Linked DNA regions of Saccharomyces cerevisiae S288C. Changing the gene in region 3 together with the main gene of any one other region gives a genetic interaction. Each region holds a gene or a part of one and is shown on either strand. Other genes may lie near its edges. The genes, in order: HOT1, BUR2, SPT4 and RTR1.

Evidence for each region.
Region 1: mutations in SPT4 (region 3) and HOT1 impair growth when combined (synthetic growth defect), as found in Saccharomyces cerevisiae (one study listed by BioGRID).
Region 2: mutations in SPT4 (region 3) and BUR2 are lethal when combined (synthetic lethality), as found in Saccharomyces cerevisiae (2 studies listed by BioGRID).
Region 4: mutations in SPT4 (region 3) and RTR1 are lethal when combined (synthetic lethality), as found in Saccharomyces cerevisiae (one study listed by BioGRID).

Annotation. Positions count from the first base shown.
Region 1 is NC_001145.3:603,288-609,344, reverse strand, and holds HOT1 (Hot1p), read right to left. Parts: upstream 3,365-6,057; coding exon 1,205-3,364; downstream 1-1,204. Other genes in the region: DDR48 (DNA damage-responsive protein 48), read right to left, coding at 1-656; EAR1 (Ear1p), read left to right, coding at 3,825-5,477. UniProt on the Saccharomyces cerevisiae protein: Required for a complete transcriptional response to osmotic stress, through recruitment of HOG1 followed by pol II recruitment to the promoters of GPD1 and other HOG-dependent genes.
Region 2 is NC_001144.5:586,702-591,838, reverse strand, and holds BUR2 (Bur2p), read right to left. Parts: upstream 2,486-5,137; coding exon 1,298-2,485; downstream 1-1,297. Other genes in the region: ADY4 (Ady4p), read left to right, coding at 1-1,277; YLR225C (uncharacterized protein), read left to right, coding at 2,921-4,144; UCC1 (Ucc1p), read right to left, coding at 4,266-5,137. UniProt on the Saccharomyces cerevisiae protein: Component of the BUR kinase complex involved in transcription regulation.
Region 3 is NC_001139.9:616,280-620,461, forward strand, and holds SPT4 (transcription elongation factor SPT4), read right to left. Parts: upstream 1,546-4,182; coding exon 1,237-1,545; downstream 1-1,236. Other genes in the region: membrane insertase COX18, read right to left, coding at 49-999; VHT1 (Vht1p), read right to left, coding at 1,798-3,579.
Region 4 is NC_001137.3:449,167-454,044, forward strand, and holds RTR1 (RNA polymerase II subunit B1 CTD phosphatase RTR1), read right to left. Parts: upstream 2,078-4,878; coding exon 1,397-2,077; downstream 1-1,396. Other genes in the region: YER138W-A (uncharacterized protein), read left to right, coding at 308-412; EMP65 (Emp65p), read left to right, coding at 2,399-4,069; COX15 (Cox15p), read left to right, coding at 4,293-4,878. UniProt on the Saccharomyces cerevisiae protein: RNA polymerase II subunit B1 C-terminal domain (CTD) phosphatase that dephosphorylates 'Ser-5' of the CTD and regulates RNA polymerase II during the transition from 'Ser-5' to 'Ser-2' phosphorylation.

The DNA.
Region 1 (6,057 bases), on a different chromosome or scaffold from region 3:
TTGTTAGAACCATACGAATCGTTGTTGCTGGAACCATAAGAACTCTTCTTCTTGTTGGAAGAACCATATGAATCATCATTGTTAGAGCCATAAGAATCGTCATTGTTGGAACCGTAAGAGCTCTTATTCTTGTTTGACGAACCGTAAGAGTCGTCATTGTTGGAACCGTAAGAGTCATTGTTGTTGGAACCGTAAGAGTCATTGTTGTTGGAACCGTAAGAGTCATTGTTGTTGCTGGAGCCGTACGAATCGTCATTGTTAGAACCATAAGAGCTCTTCTTCTTGTTGGAAGAACCGTAGGAATCATCGTTGTTAGAGCCATATGAATCATTGTTGTTGGAGCCATATGAATCATTGTTGTTAGAGCCATATGAATCATTGTTGTTAGAACCATATGAATCGTTGTTATTAGAACCATATGAGTCGTTGTTGTTGGAGTCGTTGTCATTTATAGAGGTATTAGAAAATTGTTGACGAACCTTGGACTCCATCTTATCAAATCTGTCCTCTCCGATTTTGCTTTTGAATTGATTGACTCTATCTTCGCCGATCATATTCTCAGCTTTGGTAACATAATCGCCTTGATTGTTATTGCCAGAATCATTGTTGTTATTATTGCTGTTAGCAAATTGCTTCACTTTATCAAATAAACCCATTGCTGTTTTTTTCGTTCACTTATAATACCGTATATATCAGTCTATTAAAGCCCTACTCTACAAAAGAAAAAATTAATTGTAAGACATTTTCGAGAAATTCTTTTTTTATTACATAAAAATTAATGCCTTCTTATATAATGGAAAGGGGGGCGTTGTTAAATGAAATCTCAACGTGGTTGTAAGAGTTCTTGTACGACATTCTTTTCCTTTTTCCCTTTTTCGTCGGTGCCAAGCTTGTATGGCCACAGCTAAGGGGCGATTTGTCATCCTCGAACCTTCGGAGTGGTTTTTTCACCTTCCCGAAGGTTTTTAAAATCAACCACGCCAAAACTGTGGTGGGCCAGGCCAGCACCGGAAACCGCTTTGTACGCATTGATTTACGTCATATGCACCCTTCTCAGAATAAGAGATGTGTATGATTCGTACTTTTCAATCTCAAAAAGAAAACAGCACTAACGATTTTTGTAGATTTACAGAATGTATTTATGTTACACTTGTTTTTTCCTTCCTTCCTATGATTGTAAACGATTATTTACTATCGTACGTGCCTATATTCCAGCAAGGCTCTCTTGCAACCAGCCAATGGTTCTTTTCTTTACTTCGCCATCCTCATCATCTTTATATAGCCTTTTGTTCTCTAAGGTTTCTATCATCTCTTGTGCCGTTTTACCTCTCTCCATACCGTTCAGAATGAACTTGTACAATCTTTTTCGCCTTGAAAAGGTCTTCTTATTTTTATTGAGCCTCCACTTGTTACCATACTTGGCCTCAAGATGCTTGATCGATGGCTTTCCTCTTATTCCAGTATCATACTCTTCCCATATAGTCTTTACGTCAGTGGGAGCCTTCAATATCCTATAATGTAAATCAGAGTTTATGTTGGGCTTAGTAGCCGACTCGCCGTGAAGCTTTCTTCTACCGTTTAAAGAGTTACTTTTTTTATGATGCAAGCTCCTCCTCCGCTTGTTAATCGAAGCGTTCTTCATATCTGTTTCGATTTCATCATCTACTTCATCTTCCTCAGCAGTGCTGTCTTCTTCATTATCCCTTCCATCACCTTCGTCATCACCGTCATCATCATCATCCTCTTGATAGCCATCATCGTCGACATTACTTTTCACTGTCATTGGTTTTGGGTACGACGGTAGAGTAGAAGCTCTGTTTCTATTTACAATATTCGTGTTCACCCCTGACTTACCACTCGGTAACAATTCAGATGTCGTGCTATCCTGATTGATCAATTGGGAAAATGATAGAGGCTGCTGGGTATTATTTATAATAGGGGGTATAACATTTTGATTTGGGGGAAAAGAAGCGTTATCTAGGGCTAAGCTGGGCAAACTTAAAGCTGTTGTCGTGCCAAAGTTATTCAATGAATTTAAGTCATGAAATGAATTTGAAGCACTGGTGACGCCTGAATGAATGGAAGAATTGGTATAATTCATGCTAGTTGTAGAATTATGAGAATTCGTTAATGGAGATAGGGCTGATATGGGCTTTTGTGCAGCACTAGCATGGTCATTTGTGCTCGCATTGTTGTTACTTTGCGTATTTCTTCTGCGCCGTTTAATCCCATTTGGGTTCAACTTGAATGGCTTGTCAGTTGAAGCGTTCGGGAAACTAATAGGCGAGCGATTTACCTGCTGATGTGTATTTGTGTTATGAATTAAAACCTGCGACTGGTTCTGATTGGCTTGTGTGTTTATAACAGGACCAAGTTGTCGGTTAGGGAGCGATTGGTTTATATTTTGGGAAACATTATTTCGATTATGCTGCTGATCAGGTAAGATAGTATTTAGTGCGTTAGAAAATTGGTTGTTTAGCTGTGCAGTATTCGTATTCACATCTATGGTTCCATTCGTAGTCCGATGCTGGTTGATACCAGAATGGGTGTTGGAATCTCCTGTACATAAATCAGCAGTATGCTGTCTACCAGAGCCATTATTCTGCATTTTCTGCAAGTAAGCACTACTAACGGCTGATATCGAATTTAGCAATTCGATAGCAAGCTTATTTTGGGCATTGTTTGTGCTTGGGCGCGCGCTTGGCTGCGCAACCAACTTAAGTAATATATTCAATTTGTTCATAACTTTATAGTTATCTTGTTTTAGGTTTAAAACCATTGTATTCTGTTCCGCGATCTTATTAGATAACTTGTTGAAGCTTTCCTCCATCTCAATCATTCGGGCACTCATTTCGTCCATTCTTTGAAAAATCTTCAACTGATCCGTCGATATTTCGTTCGACGGTGAATCATTAGTCAAGGATTGGCTTAACATACGCCCTGTACCCGCCGTTGTCGAGTTCGAAGCGGAAACATTCGAGTTCACCCGCTCTTCATTACTCAGTTTTTCACCAATAGTTTCTGTTGGTTGACTGGTACCTGTGGGTGCTGAAATCGCTGCTGAAGTCCTCAAAAGACCTCCATCTAGTGCATTTCCATCGTTGCGAAGTGTACTGGCGTTACTGCCACTGGCGCTCTCTGAACCAGTCGTAGGCGAAATGTGAGTGGGCAGTGAGAGGTCAAGATTGATACCTATAGCATCTTCATTTACTTGACTATTCATCCTGTACCCATCCTTTAATGTAGTGGGCATCATTAAGAATAAGAAGAAAGGGCTCATCAGTGTAGAATAATCGAAGCTGATGGTTATCCTATAAATCTTTGTACGTACGATGCAAAGAATCGCAATACCCATTCCAGACATTATGCTCCAGCCATATGTACCCTAAATATAATCTTTTTTGTATATAAAAAACCTAAAAAAGAGATAACTAAACCTAGCTCAATATTTAATTTGACCTAACCCTCCGTCGGCCCTTTTTTTTTATTTTTTTCTTCGGAACGGTGCGCTATAAAGAAAAAAGGCAAATTCCAGGTTATCCATATAAACGCCATAACAAAATTTCATTGATACAGGCTTTAAGAACCTTGCTCTATTTACTACTGCTCTTTCTTCCTCTCTCAGGTTGAGCTATTTTTGAGAATAGCGCTTTACTGCTGCATGGAGGAGTGATTTTTTATAGAACATTGAAAAACCAAAGGACTGGTGCCTAACTACAAAATTTTCAAGAGTTGTTTCAAGTTATCTATATTGTCATTGGTTAATAATTATAAAAAATCTTAAAGTTTGGAGAGCCAAATTTTTTTTCTATATAAAAAAGCAAATGTCATTCAAGTTTCTGATAGAATCGCTGCTTCTCGGTTCGATAAGCGGACAAATACGGTGTGGTAGATCTTCGGTGATCCCCCGTGGCGATGTATCTTATGGGGGAGACGATACTGACGAACTTAACATGGATATAATGTTGTTTGCGTTTGGAACCTTAATCGTGGTCTACATCGTCATCTGTATCGTTTATTTTTTTACAAAACAGATAGCTACGCGGCTTATAACTGCATATTATAATGAGCATGGCCCTGGCCAAAGAATATCTTTATTCAGCGATTATGACGAAAATAATGCACACGTTCATAGCAGAAGATTAATGGAAAACATGAGTTTAAGGTGGCCCAACAATCTTGACGATGCTGATGAAGTAAGAGATAAGCTGGCACAGTTGTCACCTGAAGAGCAGTTTTATTATAAGCAAGGTGAGGAGTATATCAAGCAGAACCCACCATTTCTGCTTAACCAGGGACTTTTACAACAGTCCGAAGATAGCAATCCAGACACCACCCGTGAAGACCCTATTATGAACGAGCAAACAAGGCAATATATTCAAGAAGAGGGGGCTTATGCATGGGAGTTTAGCCCAAATCCTGATATGCCAAACCATACTGTCATAGTGGAAAATAAAACAGAGGTTTCTTTTCTAAATTATAATTATGATGCTTCTATATCCACAAATCTACCCATTCCGTGTATAAATAAAGTATATTATTGTGAATTCAAGATATTTGAAACGGATGGCCCACTAAACAGTGATGAAAATGTATCGAAAGGTGTCATCTCATTTGGTCTTTCCACACAGCCTTATCCATATTTCAGGTTACCGGGAAGACACCACCATTCGATAGCATACGATTCTAACGGCGCCAGAAGATTTAATGACTCCTTCAAACTAAATGAGCAATTAAGAACGTTATTTCCACAGTGTGAAAAGGGAGACATTGTTGGCATTGGCTATAGGTCACGTAGTGGAACAGTATTTTTCACCAGGAACGGAAAAAAACTAAATGAAAAATCTGTTGGTGGTCATATCCGCGGCTGGAAATTCCAATACCTATACCCGATCATTGGCTCCAACGTACCTTGTCAAATTCATGTGAATTTCGGCACTTATGGCTTTGTTTATATAGAAGCAAACGTTAAAAAATGGGGATACGCAAAGTCAAACGGCATTAAATTACCTCCTCCTTCTTACGAAGACTACGGTAAAGATACCCTATTAGAAAGCGGTGGTGAAGACAATGATTTCGACGAAGATTTTTCAGACGGTGATAGCGACAATATTGCGGCTGGTAGTACTACAAATCTCAATGATGATATAATTATAAGAAACGGTGAAATATTACCGCCACCACCTGGATTTGAATTCACTATGTCCCCTCCCACTGGAAAGAAGATCATCAATGAGGAAATTAATCTAGATTCCTTACCTATGCTACCACCAAGTTACTCGGACGATGAACATCATTCGAAAAATGATAAATCAGCAATAAGCGGACGAATTATTGGAACGAGCAGAAATTTAATTACTGATGAAGCATCTTTCGATAGTGTTGATAATGATAACGAAGATGAAAATGATCACGAGAGAGATCCCGAACAATTTTCAGAATTTGATGATTACGAAAGCAGGATGCATGGCATATAATACGAAAATGCATGAGATAGTAAGGCTGAAACACTAGCCCCGGTCAGTTATCTTTTTTTGCGCTGTATTACGCAGAGCCACCATTTTTTAAAAACATTGCAATTTATAACGTTTTCTTCCTTATTGAGGGTTTCAACGCTATCACCTACTCGATATCGCAGTGCAGCATATAGATATTTACATACATATATACATATGTTTACGTACACTAGTAAGGGCAACTGGTTGACCCGCAAACTTCCTTCTTACTTTCCGTACTTTTGCCATCTTTACTTGCACCTCCGTGCTACCTCTTAATGTGTCACAAGAAGAACGTATGAAGTATTTGTCAGCGCTTCAGACATCAGCATGGGTTGCAAATGCGTGAGATTAAAATGAAGCGTTCCAGCTCGAAAGAAAATTTGCTTATCTTTCCCTTCTATCATTTTTTTTTTCTCGTTTTTTATTTTGCATTGCCTTATCTTTTGCCGCCAGAAGAAACAAGGTTGCCATTATCGTGCCATGCGTTTACTTGCTAACGCCCTATGATGTTCCCGGCGGCTTTTGGATACTAATAATAGCAATCATATACCCTTTATTG
Region 2 (5,137 bases), on a different chromosome or scaffold from region 3:
TTCTGAAAGAAGCGCTGGCCAAAATTTTAAACTTTAATCTTGCGATGGGTCCAAAACATATCATCAAGATAATGAAGAAAGATAAAGCCGATCCAGAGACAATGAATAAATTAAAACTGGTACTATATATAAAATTATTTCAAGGAGTATTTGGTCATGTAGATAAAAATTATAACCTCGCATTTCAATCTTTTCGCTGGTGCTTACAATTCATTGCGTACTCAAAAAGGACAAGACTATTTGCAAGTATCGCAGACGAGCAAATTGGAGCTTTTTATGAACTTTGCGAACTATTTATATCCATGTTGTGTTGCCACTGTTTTCTAATTGATTTGAAAGAAAATGAAGCATTGGTAGGCAATAATCTAAAAAATTTTATCAAAAGACAAAACCCTAATTATTCCCATGGCTTCGATTTAAATGAGGAGACCAAGTCACTTCAATGGCACTGGTCACTCGACGAGGTAGATGTTATTGAGGCGTTATACTGCGTCGCTTTCGATGCGATGGATAAGATAACGCTTAAATTTTCAAAGGTCAATGAAAATTTTGTTTTTAGTCAGTTTTTTCAGTATTGTGCAGAAATCGAAGAAATGTTAGCCATTCTGAGAGGAAAAATTTGGGAGTGTGAATGTGATGTGTTCGGTCCCAGAATCGGACTATTAGTAGATAGTAACCACATGAATGAAACAATTCAAAAAAATATTCTGTCAATAACTTTCAAACTTAAAAATGACCCTCAGATTATATGCTGCTTGAATAAAATTCTGGAAGGCTTATTACTTTCATCAGGTGTTCAATTTAAAGTTATCCAGTTTTTTTATGTATTAAAACTATACTATATGCAAGATAATGAATACACATTCGAAGCATCATCTGAAATGGATAAATTGACCATAGAATGCTTATGTATCATCGAAAATATTATTGATGCTTGTGACAATCCTGATGAAGTAACTGACTACCAACTACCTAAGGTACTGTTGACTGCTATGGAGGGGAAATTACTTGTTGCTGAAAAAATATCCGAAGATAATGACTGTTCAGAATCTCTGGACGATTATCATCCCCGAACTTACCAATTCAGACATCCCAGAATAATAATAGACAAGATGAAAACAAAATTGAAGCAGAAACTGCGCTTTGACTCACCTAAAGATCCAGAAACAGATGATCATTGGATTGAGTATTGGAAATATTGCTATCAGGATAACATAGGGAACTTGCCGGACATTTTGTCACGTATATATCAAACCTTTACTGATCCCTCCAATTAAACATAACTTGTACTCTATTTTTATATTTTAGGTTTTTTGGCATCTGGGGTTCTTATAGGATCTTTAGCCTTTCTCTTCATACTTTCTTGTTTAGCCTTATCTAGTAAATCTTTAACCCTTGTTTCAATATGATTCAAAAACTCTTCCTTCACCTCACCGGATTTAATCAACTCGTAGTTAAACGGATCAGAGATTTCTGAAACTTCATTTTCCACATCGCCACTTTCGTCAATCACCGAATCAATCATGCTTGAATCAATTTGTAATTTAGCACCTTTATTACTTTTTAAGTTGAAAAAATTCTCTTCCAGTAACTTGTAATCGGTAAAGATATTGGCAAAATTTTCCGGCGTTACTTCGATAGGGAATCTATCCTTGAAGAAGTTTTTCGGATATCTGAAATCTTTGTCTACAAGCTTTTTATACTCTAAACCACAGTATATGAGAGATAGTACAATGAACGTATAACCGTCGCACAATAAAGAAACTGGCTGGGTGACAGCTTGGACCATAAAATTTCTTGATTCTTGAAGAATTTTTGGAAAAGCTTTTTTAAAGTTTTCTGGCAGATTGTGATCCCTGTTGAATCTATAATAGCCACTGAACACTTCTTCAATCAATTCTTTTGGATTACTGATATTTAAGTCAAAGCCAAATAAACATAGTATTTTTTTTTCATTCGTCACTAACTTATCTCTAAATTCCCATTTAAGTTTATCAATATTTGTTCGACTTTTTAAAGACGGTATATTTTGCATCAAAAACTCACAAGTCGCCTTAATATAGGCCTCTATAGGCCTATTATTCTCCATTGTTTTGCAAGCGGTGACCAGAATTCCCTGTGATATATGAATACATTCAGTTATGGCTGTAGGTATTCCATATATGAACCAATACCTGTAAAATAGAATGCATGATGCCGTATAGGTGTGATCAAAAAGATTTAATTTTTTTTTAAGTGTGTAAAAGTACATTAAGCATTTTTCCATATTTTTTTTTATTTCCACTGCTATCGGTCCATTAGTGCCTATCTTTTCAATAATATCTTTGCACTCAAAAACCCACTGGTTTTCTGGTGTTTCTATCAAATCCGGCCATAGGGTCCTTGCGTTAAACCCACTCGATGCTGGTGGTGGTGATGCATTGCTCGTTGGTTTTGGTACAGCTTGAAATTTTTTCACGTCACCACTTGAAGATGTAGCAGACATTATCTTACTGTAATATATTTTAAACGAAAATACTACGGCCTCCTTCAATATGTGTATATAATTACCAATCAAAATAGCTACTTGCTTTCTAACAGAAATAGTGATACTTTTTAATCACTTTTCTTTTTTTACTGAACAGTGAAAAATAGAAGTCACAATGAGACCTAGGTCAAAAAGCCATAATGAATAGGGTTTGCAATAAAAAAGCTTTAAACGATAGGTCTGTTAAAGAGGATAAATAGGTTTATCATGTATCATTTGGTTTTTTGGGATAGGGCTTGGCAAAAACCATAACAGGGGAATGAGATTTTATATATAAATAGACAAGATAGATACTAAAATAGTGACGGATTCTCTCTAAATATTCGAGAAATTTTCAAAATTTTAGGGCAACGAACAGTTTAATTAACATAAAAATCATAGAGCAAAGAAAAAATGGCGGTTGCGATCAAAAAGGAGAAGACGAAATTTGCCCCCGTTAAGGAAGTTTTATCCGAGAAGGATCATGCTAATTATACTAAATTTCAGGATACATCGAAACTAGAATGGTTTTGCAGGACGTCAAATCACAAAAAGTTCAAGTCACATAGTTTATTAAAAGCAGTAAGAAATCCAACGGAAACAAGAATAGAGACACAAACTCTGTATTTTACGGATCTCACCAACGGCAAATGTGGATTAATTCAACTATTATATTCCAGTGTTATGGGCGGTATATACAAAGGTTTTCAGTTAAATTTCAAAATATTTAAAGCCAGCAGTGAGGAAAACTCTGAAGAAGACATTGATATATGGGAAAGCTTTAAAATTGATAATATCAAAGATTTTGATACGTTAAAAGTTGAATCGGACAATGTTACGTTTCACTTCGTACCTTTGGAAAATTCTTCCTCCAGTGGATTTGCTCAATTATTAATTAAGATAGATATTCCGAAGGGAAGTACAAGCTGTTTACTAAAAGATTTGAAGGTTGACATTACCGTAAATTTACAAGAAGGATTCATAATAAACCCGGACGGTTCCAATTATTACCTTGACAAGAGCATCAGCTTGGAAGAGTTAGCAAAAAGAGACTCTTCTAGTACGTCCAGAAAAATGATAAGACATGTTTTTGTTCCTAGAGGTTTTTGCAATGGTACCATCTCATACAAGAAAAACGATAAACCTGTGAAGCTGGACTTGAAGGACACGCCTATGTTGTATCTGGATGCTGTCCAGGGGCTAATACCCAATAAGGCGGCTAGTAAATGGAATTTTCTTTGTTTCAATGGTGAGAAGCGTTCGATGATGTGTATTGAATTCACCACAACAAAAGAATATGGCAGCACTACAGTGACTATATGGGCGGTTAGTGATAAGGACAAAATTTTGGAGGTCGGGTCAAGTGTAAATGATCATGCTGTTAAATTTCCATCTACAAAAGAGGATAAGCAAAATGGTTGGAAATATCCTACATCCATTTCATTTCCGCGTGGTTTTGAAGAATCTAATTTAAGATTAGTCAATAGGTACGATATAATGAGTGAGCTGCCCGCTTTCATTAGGTCTATTGCTGAAAATCTGGCAAACATGAAGCCATTCATTTACCAATTCTGCCAGAAGTCTAAATTCGATGACGATGAAGGAGTTTCCATCATTGAAAGTACATTTATCAATTGAAAAAAATGAAATTTGACTATACATATTTTCATCATTGCAAGAATATTATATCCATTTATAAGTAGGTAGGTGCATAGACGTATATACACATATATTATAGACTAATTGATAAATTTTTTTTTCATCTTCGAAGATAAGGGGTATTCCAGTTGGGCAATGCTATTTCTTGACCAAGATCTTGCTTTTGTTCCGGATGCTTGTAGACGAAAATTCTTATCAATTTGGATGGCTTGTAAGGTAAACCGTGCCCAATTATCGTGTCTCTAGGAAATGAAATTTTCTCTTCAGATTGTAAGCAGGCCAAACTCCATGCAAACTGGTATGAAAAAGAACATTCACTATAGTTGAAGATTGCTTCAATGCTATTTACGGGTTCGATTCTAAAGAGTAACCACGGCTTCGATATCTGATATGGAATAAAGTCATAACCGAGTAGAACTAAATCACCATTGATACAAACATCTGAATCTGTCCTGTCGATAGCTTTCAGTTCCAGGGGAAGATGTGTCGTTCCAGTGCCTTCAAAAATTTGCTCATCGTATAGCCTGGGAAGGTGGCCTAGGTTAACACAGTATATTCCTTCAGATGTTATCAATTCGTTGATATATCCTGCACTTGCCACGATCTGCTTCGGCCCATAGTTGCATATGCCTATTTCCGTAATAATTTTCGGTATGTATCTGGCAACGTGCGCATTTTTTACATAAAACCAAACGTTTACCGGTGTAGGCTCGTCCTTCCTCCTGGACCAAAAGTTAACAGGTAAAGCTGTCAACGACTGCATAAGAGTTCTTTCCTTGGGCCGACTATTAAAGTTACTGGTAGAATCAGAACCATTTGAATCTTGACTTTTGGTATATTTGTCCCATCCCATATTAATTATCTTTCCAGGATATTGCAGCGCATTGTATACAATATACCAAGAATCTGCGATGTATTTAGTCATGCACAGTGGCACATTAAAACCTGGTTCCTTCGTTTCTTGAATGATTT
Region 3 (4,182 bases):
TTACAAGCTGATGTAGAATTACATATCCTATCTATGCGTCAGCTTCACTCATCGTTGGTAAGGATAAATCCAATTTAATATGATATTTTGCACCAGGGAGAATAGCTGTGATGATATCCAATAGAGCGAAAGAAGGAATGGAGCCTGTGAGGACATTGCTAGCATAACGACACAACCGAGTCTCGATACGTTCAGTATACTAGTCATTGCCTCTTGGACTCTTGTCGAATTCCTTGAAATTGTCTTTATACCTTGCGATGACAAACTTGAGCTAAACATCAGTCGGCCATTGAGTTCCACGTTTAATACCGCCAGAGTCCCCACCAAAATGGGCGCTAGTAGAGGCATTGCTACTAGCGGTGAGCTTAGATCAAAGGAACTGAAACCCAGTGCGGAAAACCAGGAAGGATAAAAACTTTCTATAAGCTGTGTCTCTGTTAGGGTCCTGATGCCCATGGAGACTGTGACCCAAAGAGGAATTTGCACCATTGGCAGTAAGGCATTTTTCCATAGGGGTACATTGTACTTCTTGAATAATTTTTTCTGCCTCTTTCTTGTCTCTTTCACTGCCAATAGTGTAATTTGTTCTGGTGTCAAAACGCCAGCATTCTGTAGTTGTAACGGCATGAAAGAACCGTTGGAGCTAATTCTGGCGGCATTTCTAGACTTTTTATTAGTAACGGCTGCCAGTCGAAGTTTAATAATGGGCGTTATTGGCTGTACTAATTTCCTCAGTTCTTGTTGTTTCAAAATTCTCCTCCGCTGCCATATACTGAATGGCAGCGTCACGAGGGTTCTAAGGGTCATAGTAGTCAAAGGAACAAGCACTATCCATGGTATATGTGAGGCTTCATGCACTGTTAAAAACGTGTCCGCTACACTTTGAAAAAGTGAAAAGCTTCTCTTTGTACTTGGATTAGTCCTACCATATCGCAGACCGACTGAGCTGCACGAGAATGACGCAAAACCATTTTGACGATTGGCTAACCTCTTTAACATAATGCCATACTTTATCTTGAAATTTTCCTATCCTTGGACCTTTTTTTTCTAATGAAAGTCTTTTTAGCCTTAGTTGAATTACTGGACGGTAGAAAAATTGGGTTTGCCAGCAAAAACAAAAGTGCAGAACGTTAAATAAATGAAAGCATAAACTCATATGCTAGAATATTTACTAAAAAAAAAAAAAAGTAAAAAAAATTCATTACTATTATACATGTGATATCAGAACGGAAGGTTTTACTCAACTTGACTGCCATCCCTCGGTTTGTAGTGAGGCAACAGCTCCACAACCTCAGCTGGTAGTCTACCATCGACCTTGATGGCGTACATACCAGCTATACTATGATCTACGCTCAGCCACTTTGCTACCCACGACTTAGTAGGCTTACACATTCCTACGAGGCCCTCGAAAGAAGGCGACGTACATTCCATTGTAGAAACACCTGCCTCTTCAAAAATACCCTGACAGTTGGGACAACCATCTCTATTAAACTCATTTGTGGTCTGCACTATGCCACACAGCATACAGGCTCTTTCACTAGACATCTCTTACACTGTACCTCGTTCGCTTTTGCCAAACTGAATGTGGCCAGGTGTAATTATTACACAGTACATCCTTCGAGCCCTTTCTTAAATTTCACTTTTTCACTCGATTTCACTCATAGAACGTATAAGGTGACCTTTATCAACATCGAGATTAATTATAGATAGAAGATGATTAAATTATATACATGAATATATTTATTTGAGGTATGGTGTCTAAAGCGTAATATACCTATCTACTTCACGTAAATTGGACTACGAGGACCGCTTTAAATAGTAGTAACCATCTCTTTCCTCCATATTTTTCTTTACAAATTCTGGAAGCTCTTCACCCTTATTACTATCATACAAGATGATACCATTACCTAGAGCATGTTTCTTTTCGTTTCTCTTGTAAAAAAAAAGTACAACAAACGTCCATAAACCGTAAATAGCACCAAAAATTAAGCTCACGGTGTAACCAGTCTTAAAACGTGGTGACTCCACGGTAGGCCACGCCAAGGTAGGAATCCAGGCGTAAGTGGATTGAGAGAAGGAATAAATGGCGATCCATGTAATAGCCTTCACCTGAGGATCAAACCTTAAGAAGTCATTAATAAACGACCATAGACAAGGCGATGCGGCCACACTGAAATACGTGGTGAAGAAAGCGTACCATTTAGCTTTCGAAGGAATATCCCACTTGATAAGTAAGGCACAAGAAACGGTATTCATTATAGCAGCAAAAACCATGAATATCCACTTACATCTAAATAAATCGGCACCAAAGGCACAAAAAATCACATACGCAAATCCTAAACATGCGGGTATAACACTCAGGTTGTTCACTTGGGCAATGGAGTACTTTGTATTAGACTTTAACCACAAAGTATATGAACCACTATACGCAGTCATGTTATTCCACGAACATGTATCAAAAACAACAAGTACCCAGAATGCTGGAGTACAAAATACTTTCTTCCAAAGTTTTCTGCTCCATAATGGGGCTAGCTTACTTTTATCAACACCATCTTTGATTTGGTTCCTCTTATTTCTGGCCCTTGCAATTCGTATTTCTTCGTCAGTCAGAAATAAAGAGTAACACTTAGATGGTACACCGGGAATAACAAAAAAACCAATAATAGCCGTGGGAAGAGAAATTGCAATGGCATCGATCAGAAACATCCATCTCCAGCCTGCTAGACCATGGACGCCGTTCAAACTTTTGAATATGCGACTTTGCAGAAGTCCTGAAGTCACGGAACCCAATTGTTGCCCACAAAAGAATAAACAGACTCTTGAATTAATTTCATCTGGGGCATACCAACAACCTAGTATATATTGGGACACTGGGTAGTAAGCAGCGCCAAAGGCACTTAAAATAAATCTGTAAGCCCTTAGTTCGGCTAGTGAGTTTGCCCTATAACATGCAAATGTGAACCAAGTCCAGCCCAAGTCCATTACAGGCAAAATAATATGAGAGGGAAATCTTGGTAACAAATACATAAATGGTAATTGGAAGACAATGGCACCAACATTAGCAATAGTAGAAGTGTAAACGTAATCATTACCTTTCATGTTTAAATCTTCCTTCATATTGGAAACATATGCGTTAGTGTAGTTATTCAAATCCACTGACTTGGACCAACATAACATAAAAAAGTATAAAGCAATAATAATGTCTAGCTTGTAAAGAAGCCGTCTTTCAGCCTTGGTTTGAGTAGTATGATTAGGATACAAAAACTCGTACCACTTACGTGATTTCTTGTATTCCTTATTAACACGATACTCGAATTCATCAAAATATTTCCACCATTTACGCCCAGCTTCATCTCTCACTTCATATGGCAAGTCATGCCTTAAATTGTGAGGATGAGGTTCTACAGCTGTAGTTTCTGCCGTAACGTCTGTCTTCGAGGACTTATCTACGCTATGATGTAGCTCCTCTTCAGCTATGATACTGGAGTTAGTATCGTCTGAGTATAAGTACTGATCATCTTCGGGTAGTTTTCTCAAATGTGGGAAGTAGCTCCTCCACGATTTATTCGAAATTGTCATTATCTATTGATTTGTGTCGGTCCTTTTTTGAAAATTGAAACAAATGAAAAGGCGATTGCTCGTGGGTGTAGAGCCTTTATATATAGTTATGTTATAGCCGTAAGAGTCATGCAGATTTTTGGGAATGGCTATCATCAAACTTAGCCTTGCATCTCATATTTCGACTTTTTTTTTCATTTCACACATTTTTTTTTCCTTTCACAGTTGGGTGAAAGAGTCTCGGAGGCGGTACGGCGCTTTCTGTGTAAATCATCCTAAAGTGATTCATAATCTCAGAGCCATTTCGGGTGAACTAATGATGATTTTCTAGTAGACTACGGCAGTATCTTAGCTGACGCAATTGTAGCAATGGAGGCAATCATGTTAGTAAAGGACATTTTAGTTGTAGGAGCATAGGATCGACAGGCCATGTGAAAGGCGTACTAGCAAAGATTGAAGTAATGAGAATAATTGACGATGATTTTAATTTGAGCTTTTCAATGCAGCCGAATTCAGCAGTAGTTGCAGAACCGGACTAACACTTGAAAAAATCCCACGAGCCAGCTGCCGTCTAAGGATATTGTAATAAAGTTGGGCTTAAACTAAAGTTTTTATATCTTGGTT
Region 4 (4,878 bases), on a different chromosome or scaffold from region 3:
TTGATCCTATTACATTATCAATCCTTGCGTTTCAGCTTCCACTAATTTAGATGACTATTTCTCATCATTTGCGTCATCTTCTAACACCGTATATGATAATATACTAGTAATGTAAATACTAGTTAGTAGATGATAGTTGATTTCTATTCCAACACATCTACTAACTAGTATTTACGTTACTAGTATATTATCATATACGGTGTTAGAAGATGACGCAAATGATGAGAAATAGTCATCTAAATTAGTGGAAGCTGAAACGCAAGGATTGATAATGTAATAGGATCAATGAATATTAACATATAAAACGATGATAATAATATTTATAGAATTGTGTAGAATTGCAGATTCCCTTTTATGGATTCCTAAATCCTCGAGGAGAACTTCTAGTATATCTACATACCTAATATTATAACCTTAATCACAATGGAATCCCAACAATTACATCAAAATCCACATTCTCTACAAATGAAGAAACTGCTTATAGTCAATTGAACGATTTACCGGTATTTTAACGCCATTATATATATTAGTAAAAAGATGGCGTATATTGATGGACTAACAGGGTCAAATAAAATCATGAATTGACTAGTATATACTTATAAGTATATCGTTCTACACAAACTAGGAAGATGACATACATGATGAGAATTGGTTATCAAATTCCATGGATGCCGAAACGTAAAAGATTTACTAAATAGTAGGATAATTATTGATAACATACAAAACAAAAAAAAAAGAGACAATATTATTATCTAGAAGTGTCGACTTCCTTCTGTGGGTTTCCTATGTTCTCGAAGAGAGCTTCAAGTGTATTCTATAAACTAAGAATATTAGTTTAACGAAAGATCGAAGTCAGACACCTATCTAACTTTCATTAAATTATCACACAAAAATCCCACATACTCTCGTCTTGCTAAACAAATAATAAATTGAAGGTGAACGATTCTTCTTGCAGCGTCCTAGCTGTTGGGTCGTCTTAGATAAATATCTACTGTTCTGAATTGCCAAATTTTCCTTCTATTGTATCCATTCGATGCTGGACGGCCAGTTCTACCGTTATTGCCCAAAAGGAAGGAACGTCGCGATACTTCAACACATTAAATACTTGTTGATTTTCGAACCAAAACTCTGAAGCAACACTTTCGTATATGGATGGCCCTTCAGAGAAACCAATAGGTATGTAAAGAATTGCTACGTGGTGACTCAAAGTGAATTATAGCAAAGTTATAAAAGCGCTACATTGTAGAAAATTGAGAACCACATTTTGACATACACGAATAACAGTATTTTTGTCCTGGCGCTGTAAAGTATTTTAAGTTATGATGATGAATTAACTATTTTCAGCCAATGAAACGTCCATAATCTGTTCTGAATTTAGGTGCATTGATATAGCCGGTCAATCTTCCCTTGTGAAATCACCCAAAATGCTGGGATTATCATTCTCAACAATTTTGATTTGTGCCAACCACTTCGATAAATCATCTTCCAGCTCAGTATCATCTTTTTCTGTAGTCCCACTGTCAGGATTTAATCCTAACTTTTTGAGACCGGATATCAATGATTTAATGTCTTCTTCGGATGCCTTTTCTCTTAGCAACTCTTCAAACAAAGTCACTTTGAAATCTATATCGTGTTTGTCCTGTTCAGGATCTTCAAATAGGTGAACCCCTGTTCTTGCAAATAAAGCTTCATCAGATAGTTGCACTTGATAAAATTGGGAACATCTAAAATGGAACTTACTGCAATAGTGCGACAAATATGCATACGGATTGTTTTCTAATAAAAATTTCTTAGTAGTATCATTCATTGAAAATGGATCACGTATTCTTTCTGGCGATTTACCGCAAAGAGGATATCCGCATCTTTTGTTTAGATTCCTCTCATCTACTAGGTCTTGATACATATCCGGTGTGAGAAATCGGCCCAAATATTTCAATGTTTTCTCATCCTTGCATTCTGAATCACATAATAAGCCTATAATCTCTAAAGTTATAACTTCTGCTTCATGCATGGAAAGTTGCCTGTGCTTTTGGAAAGGGATTAACGCCGTTTCCTTAATATCTTCAATCGTCGCCATTTCTTATTCTTGTTAACTTCGTCCTAATTTTTCAAACTAAGATGCCGATGTATAGATATTTTAGACTGGGAATGTTTATGAATTGTTCAATTCGCTCCTCAATGTGTCTCTTTCTTCACTTTTCCATTGCTTTTGACCACTTCTGGATGCCAGCTGATTTTGTATTGTAGTATTCCTATTTCGGACAAAAATATCGGAAAGAGATGAAATAAGAAAATTAGTTACTTTTAATATCACGATGCTGTCTCTGAATCGACCTGATCGATCTATAAGGTGTATATATTATTCTACCGAGTAATCCAAAAAAAAAGCAGCACTCCCATGCAACACAAGGATACGGCAGTAGCGAAGGACACAGCTAAAAAACGTTTACTGAGAAGAAATAGTGCGCCGTCAGCTATACATATAATTTCACGATTAGACAAAAAGTGGTCCTTCCTATGGAATACTATAGATAGACACAATATTGTTGAAGAGCAAGATGAAAGTAGCGCTGCAAAAAGCGAAGAAGAACATGAGGATGATTATGAATTGGAACAATTACTCAACATGATAAGAATACCAATGTTCCTGGAAAAGTTCATGCTCTTTGCACTTTTAACAAGCTTGGACTGTTTTTTGTATTACTTTACTGTATTACCGATACGACTGATAAAGGGATATGTAAAGCAATTCAAGAGTTATCGTCAGCATTATCGCCTGCAACAACGGTCTGGGCATAAGAATAAAATACCCTTTCGATATAGAATAACTTCAAGAGAATATAAAGAGAGATGTATGATTTTTATCATCGTGATTTCATCCATTTTGTTGAGCAAACTAGACACCTCAAAACTATATCACAGGATAAAACGGCAAAGTACGATGAAATTGTACATGCTATTCAGTGTACTGGAAATGGCGGACAAAATGTTGGCAAGTTTGGGCCAGAGCTTATTAACGGTTATGCTTTCTAGGAAAAACTCGGAACGGATATTACTGCATAAATGTTTGTTAGTGTCAATGAGCTTGACATATGTGACTATACACGGCTATGTATTGGTTTACCAGGCCATTTCATTAAACATAGCCGTGAATTCGTATTCCAATGCCTTGCTAACTTTATTACTATCCATGCAATTTGCAGAAATCAAATCATCGGTTTTAAAGAAATTTGATAAGGAGGGATTTTTCCAAATAACCATTGCAGACGTAGTGGAAAGATTTAAGTTGACCTTATTATTGTCAATAACTGGCCTTAGGAACCTCCAGTCGTGGTCATCTTCATTATCGAACACAAGCATCAATTTCTGGAGTCCACGTTCCACATTATCAATCGTCATTAACATACTTTGTGGGCCGATGGTAAGCGTGGTAGGGAGTGAAGTGTTAGTGGATTGGGCAAAGCATGCTTACATCACAAAATTCAATCGGATCCGCCCACAGATATATGATAAGTTCTATTATATAATATACAAGGATTATTCTACGAGAACGCACAAATTAGAAGATAGATTGGGATTGCCTTTACCTGCATTCGTTGTCCTTTTTATTGTAATGGTGAGGCCAACACTTTTTAAATCATCGGAACCTTCTTACCTTCCTTCGCTATTTAGGATCCTCTTCATGGGGGCATCCGTGTTTTTACTAGCATTGTTGGCAAAATTTACACTAGATCTTATTTTAATCAAATGGAGCAAACGGATAGAGCAACGGTTCAGAGACCAAGCTTTCAATACCGTTGTAACTGAAGAAGAATACGTCCCAGGTTTACTCTCGGGCGGTATGGGTAAAGTCGACGTGTCTACAAGAATTGCATTACATTCTGATTACAATAAAGAGAATCGTATAGAGACCGAAAGTGTATCGCCAATGCGGAAAAGAAAAACTACTTTAACTGCTGAATGTACTCCTCCTAGCCTAAATGATATTAGAAGACAGAAAGATTCCAAGAATCCACGATCGCTTGAAAATGTCGCTCGCTATAAAATGGTTTCTAAAAGAATATGGTAATCTAAGATCCGCATTTATCGCGGCTTACGGCTTTCGGATATTTCGTATATTGCAAGGAGCAAAAAAGAAACCCTGCTTACTAAAAAGCTATTGTTTTGCAGTTTATAAGTTCTTGCCTTTTGAATTATTGATCTTTCCTTTATCGTTTATTTAGTTTCCTATTGTAACTTGGAACTGTATTATATAATAGTGCACAGCACTGAAGTTGTAACTACTGTACGTCATGCTTTTCAGAAACATAGAAGTGGGCAGGCAGGCAGCTAAGCTATTAACGAGAACCTCGAGTCGTTTGGCCTGGCAAAGTATTGGGGCCTCAAGGAATATTTCTACCATCAGACAACAAATCAGAAAGACTCAACTATATAATTTTAAGAAAACTGTGAGCATCCGTCCATTTTCTCTCTCCTCCCCTGTTTTTAAACCACATGTTGCTTCAGAATCAAACCCTATAGAATCACGTTTGAAGACCTCGAAGAATGTTGCTTACTGGTTAATAGGTACATCCGGTTTGGTATTTGGTATTGTTGTTCTTGGTGGGTTGACTAGACTAACAGAATCGGGGCTGAGTATTACCGAATGGAAACCTGTCACAGGTACTTTGCCCCCTATGAACCAGAAGGAATGGGAAGAAGAATTTATCAAGTATAAGGAATCACCAGAATTTAAATTGTTGAATTCTCACATTGATTTAGACGAGTTCAAGTTTATATTTTTTATGGAGTGGATTCATAGATTGTGGGGTCGTGCTATCGGCGCTGTTTTTATATTACCTGCAGTTTATTTCGCTGTATCTAAAAAAACTTCAGGCC